2 linked regions of the Oryzias latipes genome follow. The protein of the gene in region 2 purifies or fractionates together with the protein of the main gene of each other region. This does not show direct contact. Links are inferred from orthologs where the notes say so. Each region holds a gene or a part of one and is shown on either strand. Other genes may lie near its edges.

What was found. The genes of interacting proteins can lie anywhere in the genome.
Region 1: the proteins of rptor (region 2) and mlst8 purify together in Homo sapiens (affinity purification with western blotting; 15 studies listed by BioGRID and IntAct, with this or other methods). This does not show direct contact. The link is inferred for Oryzias latipes from reciprocal best matches to the Homo sapiens genes RPTOR and MLST8.

The regions. Positions count from the first base shown.
Region 1 is NC_019877.2:3,129,227-3,137,178, forward strand, and holds mlst8 (target of rapamycin complex subunit LST8), read right to left. Parts: upstream 4,646-7,952; 5' UTR 4,397-4,645; coding exon 4,268-4,396; intron 3,755-4,267; coding exon 3,703-3,754; intron 3,633-3,702; coding exon 3,470-3,632; intron 3,398-3,469; coding exon 3,322-3,397; intron 3,246-3,321; coding exon 3,093-3,245; intron 3,010-3,092; coding exon 2,885-3,009; intron 2,803-2,884; coding exon 2,639-2,802; intron 1,675-2,638; coding exon 1,556-1,674; 3' UTR 1,251-1,555; downstream 1-1,250. Other genes in the region: bricd5 (BRICHOS domain-containing protein 5), read left to right, coding at 969-1,063; meiob (meiosis-specific with OB domain-containing protein), read right to left, coding at 5,282-5,395, 5,479-5,565, 5,658-5,844, 5,918-6,062, 7,068-7,160, 7,262-7,357, 7,451-7,503, 7,573-7,673.
Region 2 is NC_019859.2:4,710,141-4,718,360, reverse strand, and holds the start of rptor (regulatory-associated protein of mTOR), read left to right. Parts: upstream 1-4,003; 5' UTR 4,004-4,467; coding exon 4,468-4,484; intron 4,485-4,569; exon of another isoform or gene 4,570-4,724; coding exon of another isoform or gene 4,725-4,741; intron 4,742-6,977; exon of another isoform or gene 6,978-6,979; coding exon 6,980-7,154; intron 7,155-8,220. UniProt on the Homo sapiens protein: Component of the mechanistic target of rapamycin complex 1 (mTORC1), an evolutionarily conserved central nutrient sensor that stimulates anabolic reactions and macromolecule biosynthesis to promote cellular biomass generation and growth.

The DNA.
Region 1 (7,952 bases), on a different chromosome or scaffold from region 2:
CGAAATCCGACCTATCGGCTCCGGACTCCTCAAGCATCTTCGGGAAGCTGCTTGGGGGGACAAAAAAAATAGCAAAAGTGGTGTTTTCGCCATTGTTCGCACATTTTCCCCCCGAAACATTAAGATATTAAACTGTTGACTCAAGTTGAACAAAACAATATGACATAGAATATGAACATATTAGGAATGTGGGCGGGGTTAACAGAAAACCTGTGTTGCCAAGGAAATCCAAAAACGTACTTTAGTAGATTCTTCTAAAAACGACATAAATCTGTTCGTCAACCACCAGCGACCAAAAAACAAAATGGTTGCTATGGAAATAAAACCAACAGAAAGGCCGTCATTTTGAAAATAAAAAAGGGGAGGGGGAGGGGCGATTGCTCAGCCAATGAGGGCGTGTCAAAAGGGGTGGGGTCGCACGCAGCTTTTAATTAATTTATTTTTATCCACTAGTTTCTAGAAAAACTGAAACCACATCAAAGCTAACACAAACTGTGGTTTGGTCGTTTTTTCCTGCCAAACAACTATGAAATGAATCAAATAAATAGTAATCCGCCACAAAAAATAGTCCCAAAAACGTCAAACTCGATAAAGCTTAGAGTTTGTATCAGAGATGTTAGAGAGACAATAAAGCTGCTGCTGACCTTTTCTAGACTCCTCCCAGCAATTTCTCAACTTTAGCCCTTTATTTGGGTTTTTTTTTTGTGTGTGTTATTTCTTCAGGACATTGGTGTGACAAAAGTAATCAGCTGTCTTTAGAGTAGCAAGGCAAAGAAATGTTTCAAATCTCCTAAAAAGAAAGTATAACAAAGGAACATGTAGACCTTCAAACCAGATTGACATCACTGGCCCCGCCCCTCTGGCTGCTTTTCCTCACCTGAGATACTCGGAGCAAACACCACAGACTGATATGAAGGCAGCCGTTGCAGAAAAAGATGCAATATTTGCTTCTGGTTTCTCGGCTGCAGGTCCCAGCAAACAGCGGCTGGTTTACTTCTGCATCGACATCTGCTTTCCCAGCAACATCTGCGTCTCCGTGTGCTTCTACTACCTGCCCGAGTGACGCCGCTGCCTCCCTGCAAAGCTAAACTTTTCCCTTTTCTTCTGCTTCTCCTCCCCAAAAATCCATCAACCTTCCTGGTTCCCTGTCCATCCTGAGAACCAGCTAGTCAAGCTGTCAACTTTCCTCCTCTCTGGTGACTTTTTGTACTCACAATGTTATGATGTTTTGTCAAATAAAATGTACACTGTTTGGTTTCGTTTCTCTTTATTTGAAAGCAGATTTTCTGAACAGCTTTTATTTCTCTTCACTTGATATGAGAAAGCAGCTCCGCAGCGCCTCCTCCAGGCGGGAAGCGGGAATGACAGCGTTCCTTTTGCTTTTAATAAATATCCTGGGAAATGTTCCTTCTTACTAACAGATTCACAACAAAATTAAAAAAAAATAAAACGGTCACCCTCTGGATTTGAATTTTTGTGCCGAACGATTCCGGGTTTCATTTGGACAAAACTGAGCAGCGGGTTCAGCTCCGGCTGACGGCGTCCGTCGTCCTCTTCAGCCGAGCACGCTGTCGTTGAAGGCCAGACACACCACGGCCTTCTGGTGGCCGCTGTACTCCCTCTTGATTTCGCCGGTCTCGACGCACCACAGACGAGCGAGATTGTCTGAAGACGCTGCGGAACAAAAACGCGACTTTACCTCCATTTTTCTGCTTCAACTGATTCCTAACATTAAAGAAACAGCTGGATAATGATAAAAACCGGGATTATTACTCCGCCCCGCAATAATCCTGGACTACGACGACCAGATTGGAAGGAAGTTTTTTTAATTATTATGGGATGGCCACAGGTGCCACGGCTTGGTGGTCACTGTGTGGCAGAGAGTGACGTTTGGTGATTTTCACATTCGTCTACAATTTATTCTACAATTTACAATTCAAAAGTCTTCAACAAGAGCTGAAGTTTCATTGACCTTTGACCTCGGGAAGAAGCTGCCATCTTGAATTTTGTAAAAAAATACATATTTATCCCGTTTAGTCCCAGCTACAAATTTAAACTCCTCCTAAGAATCGCCTCCTGACTCCTGGAGCGGTGTCCTTGGGAAACTAATTGGAATTTTGGAAATAAAGTTTGTGGATTTTGAACGGCGAGTTCACAAAAGTGGCGATTTCCTGTTGTGGGCGCATTTTTTACCGGAATATTGAGAAAATGGAGCGCACCTCTGCTCAAGCTGAACCAAACGATATGACAAACAATATGAACATATAAGAAATGTGGGTGTGGTTAACAAAAATCCTACGTTGCTAAGGAAATCCAAAAATCTACTTTTGCAGATTCTTCTAAAAATGACCGAAACCTGTTCGTCACCCCGCGGTGACCAAAAACTGAAATGGTTGCCATGGAGATAAAACCATCAGAAAAGCCGCACTTTTGAATAAAAGTGTTCTCTTTCATGAATTTGTGACCAGACTGGCAGAAGGGGAGGGTGAAGGCGGTTCAAAAGGGGGCAGTGTCCTCTGCAGGTCATGCAACGCCGTTTACGGCTTTAATTTTATATTAAAGTTTGCTAAAACATGCCATTTTTAACTTTAAAAACTCAGCGGGACAAGGGGACAGACCCAAAGGTGAAGGTACGCACCTGTAACGATGTACTGCGAGTCTCCGGAGAAGGCGCAGTCCCACATCCAGCCTCGGGACGTCTCCCCGGGGTTGTTGCTTTTGATGCTCAGCTCCGTCATCAGGGAGAAGTTGGACGTCCTCCAGATCTTGCAGGTCTGATCCGCTGAGCAGGTGGCCAGTAGTCTGGAGACATTCAAGGAGAAACATCAATGAGGTTTTTTTTCTGTTTGGCCTCACGTCAGGCAGAAACAACAAAAAGCCTCACGTGGAGTCGGGGCTGAACTTGCAGCGCAGCGAGTATCGTTTGTGCGCCGGGATCTTCGTCTTTGGAATGAGCTGCGTCACTTCGTCTCCCATCCCTCCAGCCAGGTTCCACACGTAACAGTTTCCCTGTTGGGGGGGGGAACAGGAACCTCACTCTAGTTTCTCTCCAACCCCAGTTTTTGCGTCCCATGTTCAGTTTGGGGACGCACCGAGCTGTTGACGGCTGCCATGTAGCTGGCATCGGGGTCGATGTGGACAGAGTTCACCGAGACTTCTGGCTCTGGAATCAGCTGTTCGTTGTGGTCCGTTTTCAGGTCCCAGATGTGAATCACGCCACTCTGATCCCCAACAATCAGCTCCGCCTAAAAGAAAAATCACAAAACGCTGACAAATCTACAGATAAATCCACATCAAACACCTGTGCAGCTTTGAGGATACCTGATTGGGATGAAGACACACACAGTTGATGGGAGCGTTTACTTGGAAGATCCTCTGACACTGCAGGTTTCTTGACCTGAAAGGAGGAGGGTTGATAACAGCAGAGTGGATTTCTGCCGGGGTGTGCGGTGGAGGTGAACCGCCGTACCTTAGGTCCCATATGCGAGCCATGCAGTCCTCTCCTCCGGTGTACATCCAGCGTCCGTCCTCATGGAAGCCCACGGAGGTGATGTTCTTGCTGACTCCGTCGTAGTTGATGACGGGGTTTGGGTTGTTGGAGTTCAGGTCGTACATGCGGATGTGCTGATACCCTGCAGGAGGAAGAGGAGGAACGCGCAGTGAAACGCCGCGCAGCCTTCAAATGGGAGAGTTTGGACTGACCTGCGGCGGCGATCATGCTTCTGTCCGGGGTCACTTCAAGGGAATTCACTTGCTGAAATGACGAGTTAAAGGCCCACTCCGAAAGTCGCGTTTTTGAGGTATTTAGCATATATATGCCTTTTATAGCATTTTTCTACAACAAAATACATATTATGTATGAGAATAATGCTGTAAAATATTAAGCCTATTGCATTTAATTAACAGTTGATGGTTTTATTTTTAGTGTGTGTGGTGAATCAAACAAAAACAAAACAAAAACGGATTATGTCAAACAAGTTAGAGCAAAGGTCACCTGTATTTTATTTTTATTTAACATAATACCGTTCCGTAGTAAAATTATTATTAAAAAGTAAAAAAAAATTACACTAATAAATTTGTAAAAGTATAAACAACAATAAAAATGTAAAATTTTACGAGACTAAAGTCATAATTTTGTTTTTCAATTCAGTAAAGCTCCGAAATTGGGGGCCATTTCGTCAGGTTGGGGTGTGAGCGGCTGTAAGCCAGCGGTAGCGCATGTAAACAGAGAGCTCTCACCGAACCGTTCTAACCAGGGAAAGGATACCGAGTCCTGATGCTGCACCGTCCGGGTACAGATCCCGCTGTGGGCCTGCCAGAACCGGACTGTGTGATCGTATCCAGCCGTGGCCAGGATAACCGGGTCGCTGCCCACCGTGCCCTGGTTGACATTCATGCTTCTCCGCTAGTGTGTCACGGTTACAAACAACACCAGAACCCGTCAGTCCACTTAGTTACATCTGACGAACTCGGTCCAAACGATCGGCCAACGACGTCAGCTCAAGCTTTTTGAAGTTAACTCTTTTAAAGAAAAGCCGTTTTAAAAATATCTGAATGTGAGAAAACATCTAAAAATCTGATAAGAATTCGCTTTACAGATTTCCTGAAGCCATCATTCGCGACTGCGGTACGTCTGACTAACGCGTCCCCGATAAACACAGAAGTGTGTCAAACGTTCCGCTTTGAAAAAAAAATTGTTTAAATGCAGGAATGCAACGATGTAAAATAATAATAATAAAAAATAAATCATAATAGAGGTAGAATCATAAAATCGCCTTTTCCCACACTCTTTCAGGTAATTAATCAACTTTTATTTGGCAATCATTACAATAAATGTGCAAATATGTCTCCTTATGATTCAGAGTAATATGTCAAAAAATATTTAAACATATTGTTTTATTTCTTTTTAATCATTTTTATGAATTCAAAATTTTAATACATATTTTTCTTTTTTTATGGTTAAAATTGCTTTAAATAAAGCATTTATTGTCGCTACATAAAATCTACATCATTCTTTTTATTTTAAATATACTTTTTTTTATAACAGTTGCTTTTGTTTTTTTTTTCTTTTTTAATTGTATTTTGTGATAATAAATCAGAATTTTTTTTCAAAACACAACTTTATTAAACAGGAACAATTTAACGCCTTTTTTTAAATAAATCAATTTATATCAATAAGTTAAATAAATAAGAATAAATAAATAAATAACAGTTGAAGCATCTGTTTACATTGTAATTAGCGCAGAACAAATGTAAATAGAACAGACTTCGCATTGCTGGTTCAAAGCTGCTGCAGAACAGCCGACATATGCTGCTTCACCTCTCCTGGGTCGGCCGGAGAGCAGGCCAGGATCACCCCCCTGATGCCGCTTTTCGTTCTCGCAGAGGGAAGGATCTGCGGCAGACGATCTCATGAACAATAAAAACACATCACAAAGACAAAAAAAAAAAAAACATGCCTTTTGAAGGCTGGAATACCTTCAGGTATATTTTGCATCTTTCCAGAAGAAACTTCCACTTGAGAGCGGTGCGCTGATCATCGGTCAGACGGATGAACTCGTCCGTCTGGAAGCAGGCAGCAGCATATTTAAGAGAAGTCTGTGGATCTCAGCAGTTTGGAGCTGACCCCCCCCCTCAGCCTCTGAGGAGTTACCGACCGAGCAGCCGAGCGTCTGCTCCGCCGTGGCGCCCCGGAGGCTGCAGGCCTGCAGCGTGCCGGTGTGGTCGGTCAGGTCCACCAGCAGGTCGAAGCCTGTGGTGCCTGAGAACGGCTGCTCCCCGCCCGGACACAGCTGGTTACCGCAGCTCTGCATGTCCGCCGTCAGCAGGAACCTACATTTAGAGCTGAAAAAAGCCCAAATCGAAGCACGGACAGATGGAAGGAAAGAAGGAGGCCGTGACTTTGGTGCGATCGTACCAGCGGGTCTTGATGACTTTAGAGGCAGAGGAGTCCAGGTCCAGCTTGGAGATGAAGCTGTAAGTCAGGCCGAAGAAAGTCTCCGGTTGCTCCTTGGCCTTCAACTTCAGCTGGTTGACGGTGTAAACGTCAGTGATGGAGTCCACTGCAGGCAGAAAACAAACACAAACACGCAAAAATGAAGCCACAAAAAACAAACAAACACCAACTCTTATCAACAACCGGGTATGGAGTCTGAATGATTTACCTTTTGGTTTACGGATCCTCTTAATAATTATTCAAATGTATTATATTTAATAATAAAGCATTTAGCTTTGTTGTGGAGTTCACCACAAAGTGACTGATTAGAATTTTAGTTTAAAGACCTCAAATGTGATTTTTCTTTTATTAGACACAAAAAGACAAGACAACAGAGGAAAATAATAACATCCTTTTAAATATGAATGATATAATTGAGCATCTCTGTCAAATACTCTTTAAAATGAAACTTTTCAAAAGCATTTGTGGTGTTTTTGTTTGTTTTTATGAAGCACAAACTGTCCTACTAACAGCAGTGAATCCCTTAAAGGGCCCCCTCCCATGAAAACGGTGTTTTTGCTGTTTGGAACATGTTCTTGTGGCCTTTTTCCGATGATGCAGGACATGTATAAAGACATTTAAGCTTAAAGTTTCTGAGTATTTCTTATTTAACTGAATCAGGAGCAGACAAAAAAAATGGTGACGTTGGAAATTCTGATTTTGGACAGATAGATCCAGGATTGTCTTTGTCTTCCTCGCCTGAGCTGGAATCTGGATCTGAACTGGACGGCTTAGAGGTGGGAGGGGCTGTAAGCTAGCAGGAGAGCGTGTAAACAGATGGAGACGGAAAGTGGGGGGCGGGGTTGCTTTTGCACCGACGGTCCCGCCCACAGGTCTGAGGTGAATATGAACTACTTTGGCTCTGCACCAACTGTGTCCTACAAAACCAGTTTTGTGACGCTTTGAAAATACTTCAAAAGATAATCAGAGTGGGGTTTTACTTGTAATTCATGTTCAGCCTAATTAATTTAAAAAAGAGATTATTTTGAAGGGTAAGGAAATGACAACAAACAGCATTTTGCTCAGTTTTTTTTAGGGTAACAGATGTTTATTGTTTTTGGACAGAACCCACCGGGCAGATCCTCGGCCGCCTCGTCGTGGTCCAGAGCTCCGGACTCGGACATCTGCTTGGCGAAGCTGAACAGCAGGCCGGCCTCTCGTGTGTCTAAAACAAACAGGAAGTGGTTCGGTTTCTCACTGGAAACACTTTCTTCAAGCAGAGAACGGGGGTGTTTTTTTTTACAGAGCGCTGATGGGATTTCTTACCGGGGTTGACAGTGATGACGCTTTTGGAGGTGACGGTTGCCACCATGCCGCCACGAAAGCTGTCAAAGCTGATCTTTGCATCGGCAACGAAGAGCACTTGGAGAGGAGTTCAGACATTTATGTTAAGCACCCCCCCCCCCAGAAGCTTCAACAAAAGGCAAAAAAAACAAAAAAAATCCACAGACTAACCCGCCTCCCTGGGAATCAGCGTCTGCAGAAGCTGAATGCTCTCCTTCTCCCAGCTGTGAAGGAAGCAGAGGTCAGCGGAAATCAAACCCGCAAGGCGGCCGCTGCACAGCATCTCAACCCACCAGACCAGAGGGAAGCCGGACACGGCGTCATCGAAGAGCTTCACTTCCAGCCTCTGTCCTCGCCGTCCGTCTGAGGTGGTGAACTGTCTGCTTTCCCCCATCTGAAGACAGAAAACGGACAGAATTCTGCTTTTACAATCAACAACAGGAGATTTCGTGTCACATTTCCTCTGGAATTCTCAAATTTGAACATCTAATGATGTTTTTTTTGTGTAAAATACAAACAGAAAAGGGATTTATGGAAGAAAAAACCAAAATCAAAGTTAGTAAATCGTTTAAAAATGTCTTTAAATACAGGGGAGGGGGGGTTGATAGAAACATTAACCCAGTTTGTGTGGGGACAAAACAATTTGACTGACTGTTGAGATGCAGAACAGAAC
Region 2 (8,220 bases):
GCGATATTATTTATAGTTAGCATAAAGAAGTACTTATTTCTTAAATAAAGCCAGAAAACTAATTGAATATGGCCCTGTATTCTTCCCCAAATGTTTTTAAAAATTCTGTTGGCTGCAAAGGCTGCTGTGAAGCATGGCAGTGGAAGTATTATGATTTTAGGAGGCAGTCTCTGGAGAAGACATTCTTCTCACTTTAAAGCTTTATTAACAGAAACCTGTCAGTGTTATCAGTTTTTTTTTACCTTTTGACAATATATGATGAAGTCCCAATGTTAAAATATTTAGAGCTCATGAACAGTTTCACTGTTAATTTATCACTCGTGCCTTTTGGCATCCAAAAATGTCCTTTTTTACATTAAGGTAATTAGCAATTGTTTTGAATACAGCAGAAAACATAGATTTGAAATTGATTATTCAAAGACTTTGTTTATAATAGAATGTAGGACTAGTTCCCTATCAAATAATTTAATGCTGAGATTTATAAATGCCCTCTCACCTTGTGTATTTTTGGAAATGTACCTGATAAGAAAAACGTTGGCTCCAGTGGGATCTGCTTTAACCCTTGTGCTCTCTTAGATGACCCCACCCTTACATTGATGTGTTATTCCTACCATGGCAAAGGTGGATAAAGGTGGAGAGGATTTCATGTAATCCATGGACATCAGTGAAGATCACAAATCATTGAAGAAAAAAGGTTCAGAGCTCTGTCTAGTGGGTCTAGATGACCCAACTCCCAATGTTAAAGTGCCTAGGATAGCACAAGGGTTAAAGTAATTTTCTATAGGGACTTTCATCTCTTCCCAAAATGTGTGTATACATTTGCATTCCCAAGTAAGGAAGTATGTTCCTAGCATTTCCATACATTTGGGGCAAACATCCAGTATATTTTTGTTATACATATTCAAATCTGCTGCCGATATATTATATAGATATAGATTGTTTTTGGAGATCTTCTTTCAAAGCATTTACTTTATACTGTGAACCTTCGTTTGAATTAGACAAAAACAGATTATAAAACTCAGAAATGGCGCCTTTTTTGGAACTGTCTCTCAACATAAATTTTTTCTAAAATAGAACATGGTGGTTTATTGAGGATCTTCTGTGTTTTTCTTAAAAAGTTTTCTGACCTGGAGAAATTTATAAAAATGCTTTTTACTCAACTCATATTTAGTTTTTAACTCTTCAAATGACATCATTACATCAGAATGTGGAATATATAAGTCCGAGATGGTGGAAAGACCCTTTGCTGCCCATATTTTAAAGGTGGCAGCCGCTCTTCCAAGGGTGAAGAATTTGTTCCCCCAAATTGGGCTGTATTGTGACAGAGGTTGAGTTTGGTTCATGTGTTTAATAATTGGGTTCTTTGTCTCTTTGCGTAGCTTTTTTGAGGTGTTTGAATTAAGAAATAACAGGAGGGGCAGCTTTAGATCCTGGGATTCCATTTCAACCCAATGAGGAGTGTTTTTGACAGTAAAATGAAACATTATAGATCTAATCTGTGCAGCCCAGTGGTACCATTCAATGTTTGGAATTTTTAGTCCCCCTCTGTCAAAGGGAAGAAATAGTAATGTCAAACAGAGTTTTGCTTTTTTGTTATTCCATACGAACCTAGTGAAAATTCTCTTTCGTTTTGAAAATAAGTCTAGAGGTGGTGGCAGAGGTATGTTTTGAAACAGATAAATTAGTTTGGGGATTACACTCATCTTTAATATATGTATTCTTCCCATAATTGATATTGGTAGTGTCATCCATTTCTCTATGGAACCGTTTATCTTTTCCAGTTAAAGGATCATAATTTGATTCTACTACCTGTTCTAGTCTTGATCTGATATTGATTCCCAAATATTTAAAATTTTCAACAACATTAAATTGAATTGTCGGGCCCCACCTTTGCCAAATAGGGGGGTCCGGTTAAATTGCTACACCCAAAAGATTCAGGACCAGGGAAAGAGCGCCACACAGAAAACCCAAGGAACAATTGTTTTTTAAACTGCAATAATTTAATCCAATAAAAACATGCAGCCACAACACGACAAAGCCCGAACGGTTAAAACCTAAATAACTAAGACCAAATGTTTAAAAAGGTAGTAAAAACAGTAAAAACTTGAAAGAGGGACCTCATAAAAACATTGTTAAAATAATTAAAAGAAATAGTCCATGAAACACCAGTGAGACAGGTCTTGTAGTCAGCCACAGTCTTGTCTTTGTCCACCCTTTGCAGGCGCAGTGGGGTGTTCCTCCCAACATCTACACACCGGCAGGGCTCCTCACCCTGCCTATGAGTGTACGTCGCGCTGTGGCACTCCTGTCCTGGAGAAGACTCCTACACTGACTGCAGCTCCAGCCACACAGTTTGCTCCAGTGCTGTGTCCTTCAACGGCTACCAGCTGCTCTTCCTCCTTTCTCCTGCTGCCAGTGCAGCTTTATGGGTGGGGCCATCAGCTTACTGATTGGACACACCTGGGTGTCCAATCTGGGACCCAGTCTTCATGGGGGTGAAACAACACAAAACACAAAAACCAACTCCACCATACAAGCATGCAAACAAAAATCAGAGAAGACTTCCTCCATCAAAAACAAACTTCAACACAAAAGCATGCAAAAAATGACAGGAAAAGGTTTCACCACACAACAGAATTGTTTCAGAAGTTGGGTTTTTCTTTCTTCTTCATTATGTAATAAAATAGAGGATTTTGTTTGGTTCACTCTATATCCAGAGACATCTCCATATTTTCTGATTATTTCCATTAAAGAACGAATTGACTTTTTTATTTGAGAGAGAAACACAATCACATCATCTGCATATACTGTAAAGCTATTTTGTGTTCTACTGGACCCACTCCGATTCTATGTAGCCCTGTATGGGAGTGTATTGCTATTGGTAGTGGTTCGATTGCATTGTAAATAGCATAGGTGATAATGGACACCTTTGCCTGCAGCCTTTTGTTATGTTTATTGACTGTGAAGTGTTCCTGTTTGTCAAGATTTTTGCCATGGCATTTTTGTAAATGATCTGGACCCACATTTTTAAGTTGGTTCCACATCCACATTTGTCCATGACCTTAAAGAGAAAAGGCCAATGGACCTTGTCAAAGGCCTTTTGAGCATCCAGTGCTCGTAAACCTGTTTATGCTTTATTTGTGCTATAATGAATAATATTTCAAACTCTTCTCACATTGTGAAATCCTTGCCTTGCAGATATAAATCCATTTTGGTCTCTATCAATAATGCTTGGCAATGTATTCTGTAGTTGTGTTGATAAGACTTTACAGATTATTTCAAGGTCAGGTTATTGGTCTAAAATTTTCACATTTGTTTGAAGGTTTTCCAGGTTTTTCTTCCATGATTTTTGATCTTCACTGGTGTAAACAGATTCATGAAATCCTCTTCACCTTTATCCACCTCTGTCATGGTAGGAATAACACGCCAATGTAAGGGTGGGGTCATCTGGACCCCACAAGATACCACAAGAGTTATTGATACAAATTAGTATCTTCATACTGATTGTAAGTTTAATGCTGTTCACTGCAAACATTCGTTGCTTGATAAAATTTTGCCTGTTAAAATCTTCAACAGTGCTTATTAGTTATTGTGTGCTGAACTTTTTAAATTTTATTACTAAGCCTCACAAAGTTAACAAAATGTTTAATTTACGCAACAACAAAAAAAAAAAAAATCAACATTTAGGGGGAGGGGGGGGGCTGGCTTTGTGACGTTCAACTTTTAAAATGTGTTTATGAATGGCTACATATTTTAATAAAACAAATTCAATATTTTATTTGTTAGCCTTTTTTCTTACCCCATAATAATTGGACGGCAATCCAAAACCGGAAGTTTACACGATGGTAAAAAATATTACTTTTTTTTTATAATTATTGTTGTTAATTGTTTTTCCTTTTTAAAACGTTATTTAGAATAGTACTTTTCTTTACTAAAGATAATTGAACAGTGGTCCAGTTATTTATTTTATTTTTAGCGTCACAGGAAAAGCAACGGTGGCGTTTAACGGTGCATTCTGGGTCCTACCCAAGATGGCTGCGCCCTTGCCGTAGTGCTGAAGCAGTGCCTCTCCGGAGAAGTTTTTAGGATTTTTTGTGATTTCTGACAGAATTATCGCGCCGAATCGGCTCGCATGGTCGCTGGCTTGTAGAGGAACAAGGCAGGACCACCGTCATCTATAAGTTTTGCTGGTGCTTAGCGTGGCTGTGGCAGACTGTCCGTGTGAAGATGGGCCTCGTCTCCAACCCCTTCCCATAGCGAAGAGCCGCGGGGAGAGGAGCCGAACATTCCCCTGCAAGCACACCCCCGTCCAGCTCGCCTTCGACGGGTTCGACCTCCTGTATCGGCTGTGGACGCTGCCCTACAACTTCCTCGCGAGGATTATTTGCGCGACCTTCTCTGTCATCGCCCGGAGAAGACGGAGAGCTTCCCCTGTCCGGGCTGATAATCCCGCCGCACCGACTCGGTATGCAGCTGCTCGCTGGGTCTGTACACCCCTTCCGTCTCGGTGTTCTGCGGGGTTCGCAGTGGATACGTTTAAGTTAGCGCTCAGAAAGCCGTGGGAGGCTGTAGGAGAAGTGACGGCGACTGGACACGGGCTGACTGAAGCGCGCGAGGACAGATAGCATTAAGCTAACTGGACCCTCCAGCTCCCGTTTGCTCCGTCAGCCTTGGGGCAGAGTTCTTCACAGCTGAGCAGCAGGCGTGTTCCCACCTAACCTGTTATGAAGACGTCATCCAGGTGTAAATCCCCCTGAGATCATACCCCTTTTTTGAACTAATGTCAAATACCTCGATGTTTATTTACTGTTAGCATGTGACGTTGTTTGTATTGTAAGAAGGGGATTTCACAGCAGAGCTTTAAACCTGACTTATAAGAACTACAGGAACTGCCTCAATGAAAGCGATGTCACTTCAGCAGAAAACGGGACTTCAGAGGCTTTCCTTCAGCCTGTAACGTCAGTGAAATCAGTTTCTGAAAGTTACTTGTTTCAGTTGGAACGGTAGTTTGGTTTTTGTGAATGAGAGAGCCAAATGAACACACATTCTGCCCTCAGAGGTTCCTGCAGAGGCAGGGAGAGGAACCAAAAGTTGAATGGACAACAGTAGATGTTTGCTGACATGCTCCTACCAGTGTTGGTCTGTGGATAAAACACCGTATCTCTCAAGCATAGAATAACTATTCATTCCTAACAGTCGCTTTGCTCTGTCTGTCATTTTAAAATTAATTGCACGTTCTTCATTTGTCTCAGAGATTTCAAAATATTTGTTGCAGGTTTCAGTGATGTTTGATTTATTTGTGGTCCATAATCCCCCTTAAAGTCCAACTGCAATCATCTTGTGATCTATTTTAAAAGTATTCCCAGTGGTCTTTTTAGTTATAATTATGCCATACTTAGCCAAAAAAACAAAAAAAAAACAGTGTTGTTTTCTAGGATGTAGTTTCTGCAGAGCAGCAGGAGTTCATTACAAATTCGCCTCTGAGTTGGAAGCGGGACTGTTGGCACAGAGCAACCCCCACCCCCTTTCCCATCATAACTGAGAGTTATCAGTTTACACGATGTCCTGCTAGCCTCACACCCCCAACCTGACATTACAGGTGCGACAAAAATGGCGAGCAATATTGAAGCCATCCAGCTGTACAGTTTGGAGCCAGATTCCAGCTCAGACGAGGAAAACTGAGCATGTACATTGACGTGATATTTTTCAAACTGCTTTTTTTTCAGTTGCTTCTGATTCACAACAATTTGAAATACTGAAAAAAATGACATTTTAAGCTGAATTTTCAATAGAAATGTTCTCCATCATTAGAAAATGCCACAAGATCATGGGATTCGGTCTTTAAAGAGTTGTGTTGTAGCTTTTTTGTTTGTGTTGTACGTCAGACTTTATAGAAACATGGTAAGTGTCTTAAAGTAAAAGATAAAAAAAAAGCCATAGAAAATGCAAATTGGGAAAAACCAAGATATCTGTTCAGAAATGAAGCATTTACAAACTTCAGGACTCTCCAAACCCAGTCCTGCTTCTTTTCCAGTCCCTCTTTTCTGTTGTTTCAAAAATGTTGGAGCATCTTGGGAGGCGATAACTGAGGAGGTTGATTATGAAGACCAACTGTTTTGCTGTAAAACAACCACAAAGACTTAGTTTTGTGTTTTTGTCACCTGGCAGGGATGATGAGTGGAAGTCACTATGGCTGGGTACCGCTGCCAAAACAAGGAATTTAATACAATTTTAAGTTCACAACTCTATTCAATTTCCAATTCAACACATTTTGATTTATTATTTATCATTTAAATAATCATTTTATCTTTAAATATGAAAAGGTGTTTTCACATAACTAGTGATTTGAGCTGAGGAAAAGTGGATTTTTTTATTAATGAGATTGTAACTTATTACGTTAAAAACAAAATGTTTTTAGCTTTATTTTGAGTAACAGTTTTCTTATAACTGAAGGTTAGCACTAACTCAAAATCCGTGTTAGTAAAATAACTACCAGACTGTCTACTAACGTTTTGGTGAAATAAAAAAAGAACTGAAAGTGGGTTTAGGGTTTTTTGAAAAAAACAAAATGCAATGAGGAAGAAGCATGGAAGTTTCACATGGTGTTAAAAATAACAAGCTTTTATCTGTTCATTGGTGAGTCCTTGGTGTCATGATGTCATGACTTACAGAATAGTTTGGATTTTCCACATTATGTTGTCTTAAATAAAAAAATCTAAAGAGGTCCCTGTACGGAACCCTGGGGTACGCCTATTGAGATGAAGTATTATATTCTATAAAACCTTAGTGTTTCTAGTCAATTATGATTTAACCACAAAAGTAGTTGGCTAGTGTTGCTCAAATCTGAGAGACAAAGATGAGTTAAATATTAGCGGACAGTTTGTGTAATAACAATGTCAAACTATTTTGTTGGTGTTGATAGAAATCCAGCAGCCTGAGGAACCACATCAGCGCGGCTAACATAAGCTCTCTCCCACAGGGCCCTCATGAAAATGGACTCGGACTTGCTTCATTCGCCGGCTGTGGGCCTGGCTGAGGAAGAGGAGGCTGACATGAATGACTGGAAGCTTCCCTTGACCTTCATGAAGAAAAGACACTTGGAGAAGATCGAAGGCTCCAAGGCGTTGGCACAGAGCTGGAGGATGAAGGACAGGGTAACTCTTTTTTTAAATTTCTTTTTATGCCTGTCTATGAAACCTCTGGAGCAGCTTTTCTGGTGCAGTCGATACGCAGAGCTGTTCAATACTCGTTTCTTGAGCTTCATGAGTCCCTCAGGGAGCTTTGTTAATGCTGAGAGAGGAAATCTGAAACGCAAGATTGGGTTTCATTTGTTTCTGCAAACGCTGTCTTTGATATTCACAATGCCAAATATGGAAGCAAAATTAAATATGTACTTATTAATACTGTCTTTCATAAAGAATTATTTAGTTTTTTTTGTATTGGATGCAATCTGCCTGGAAATAAAACACTTCTGACCTCAAACACTGGTCCCCGGGTCCCAAACTAGCACCAGTCCATGGGTCAGTTGGACCCAGTTCTAATCGACTGCACGTACATCATGCATAACTTTCATTATTATTATTCTTCGTCTTATTCTAAATGATTTCCACCACATAACCATTGTGATGCTTATTTCAGTCATCTAGAATTGGACAGCTTGATGCTGACTACCTAAATCAGATGTGTCCAGCCAATCGGGATGTGGAATCACTTGACTCAGCAGGGAGAGCTAGAAAACAGGCAGGGTTGTGGTTCTTGAGGACCACATTCTGCCAACCCTAGTACATAGTGCATTACAGCTAAATTAAAAGCAAGCTAGAAAAGTAAACAAAAAACACAATTTCTTTGTGGAGAACCAGGAACTGCTTTATTAATAGAAAATGATGAAACATGGATTTATCATTCTTTAGTGTGCAAGGTTGCGCAAATCAACCACACTAAAGCCCTGCATGTCAAAACATCACATTTTCCCATCTAAGATCCTTTGATCCTTACAGCAGAGATGCTCACAAGTTCCCTTTTTGCAAGTCTGAAGTCTTTGCATTTAATTTCAAGTTAAGTCTGAAGTCTTTGGTGGCAAATCCAAGTCAATTTAGCTGCAAGTCCAGTCTTAAAACATAAGGCTGAAGTGACTATTTCATGGTCACAAACTGCTTTTGAAGAGCTTGTTTTCGGGACAAAAAACAGGAAGTTGGTGTTTCTACAAAAGCTTTATACATT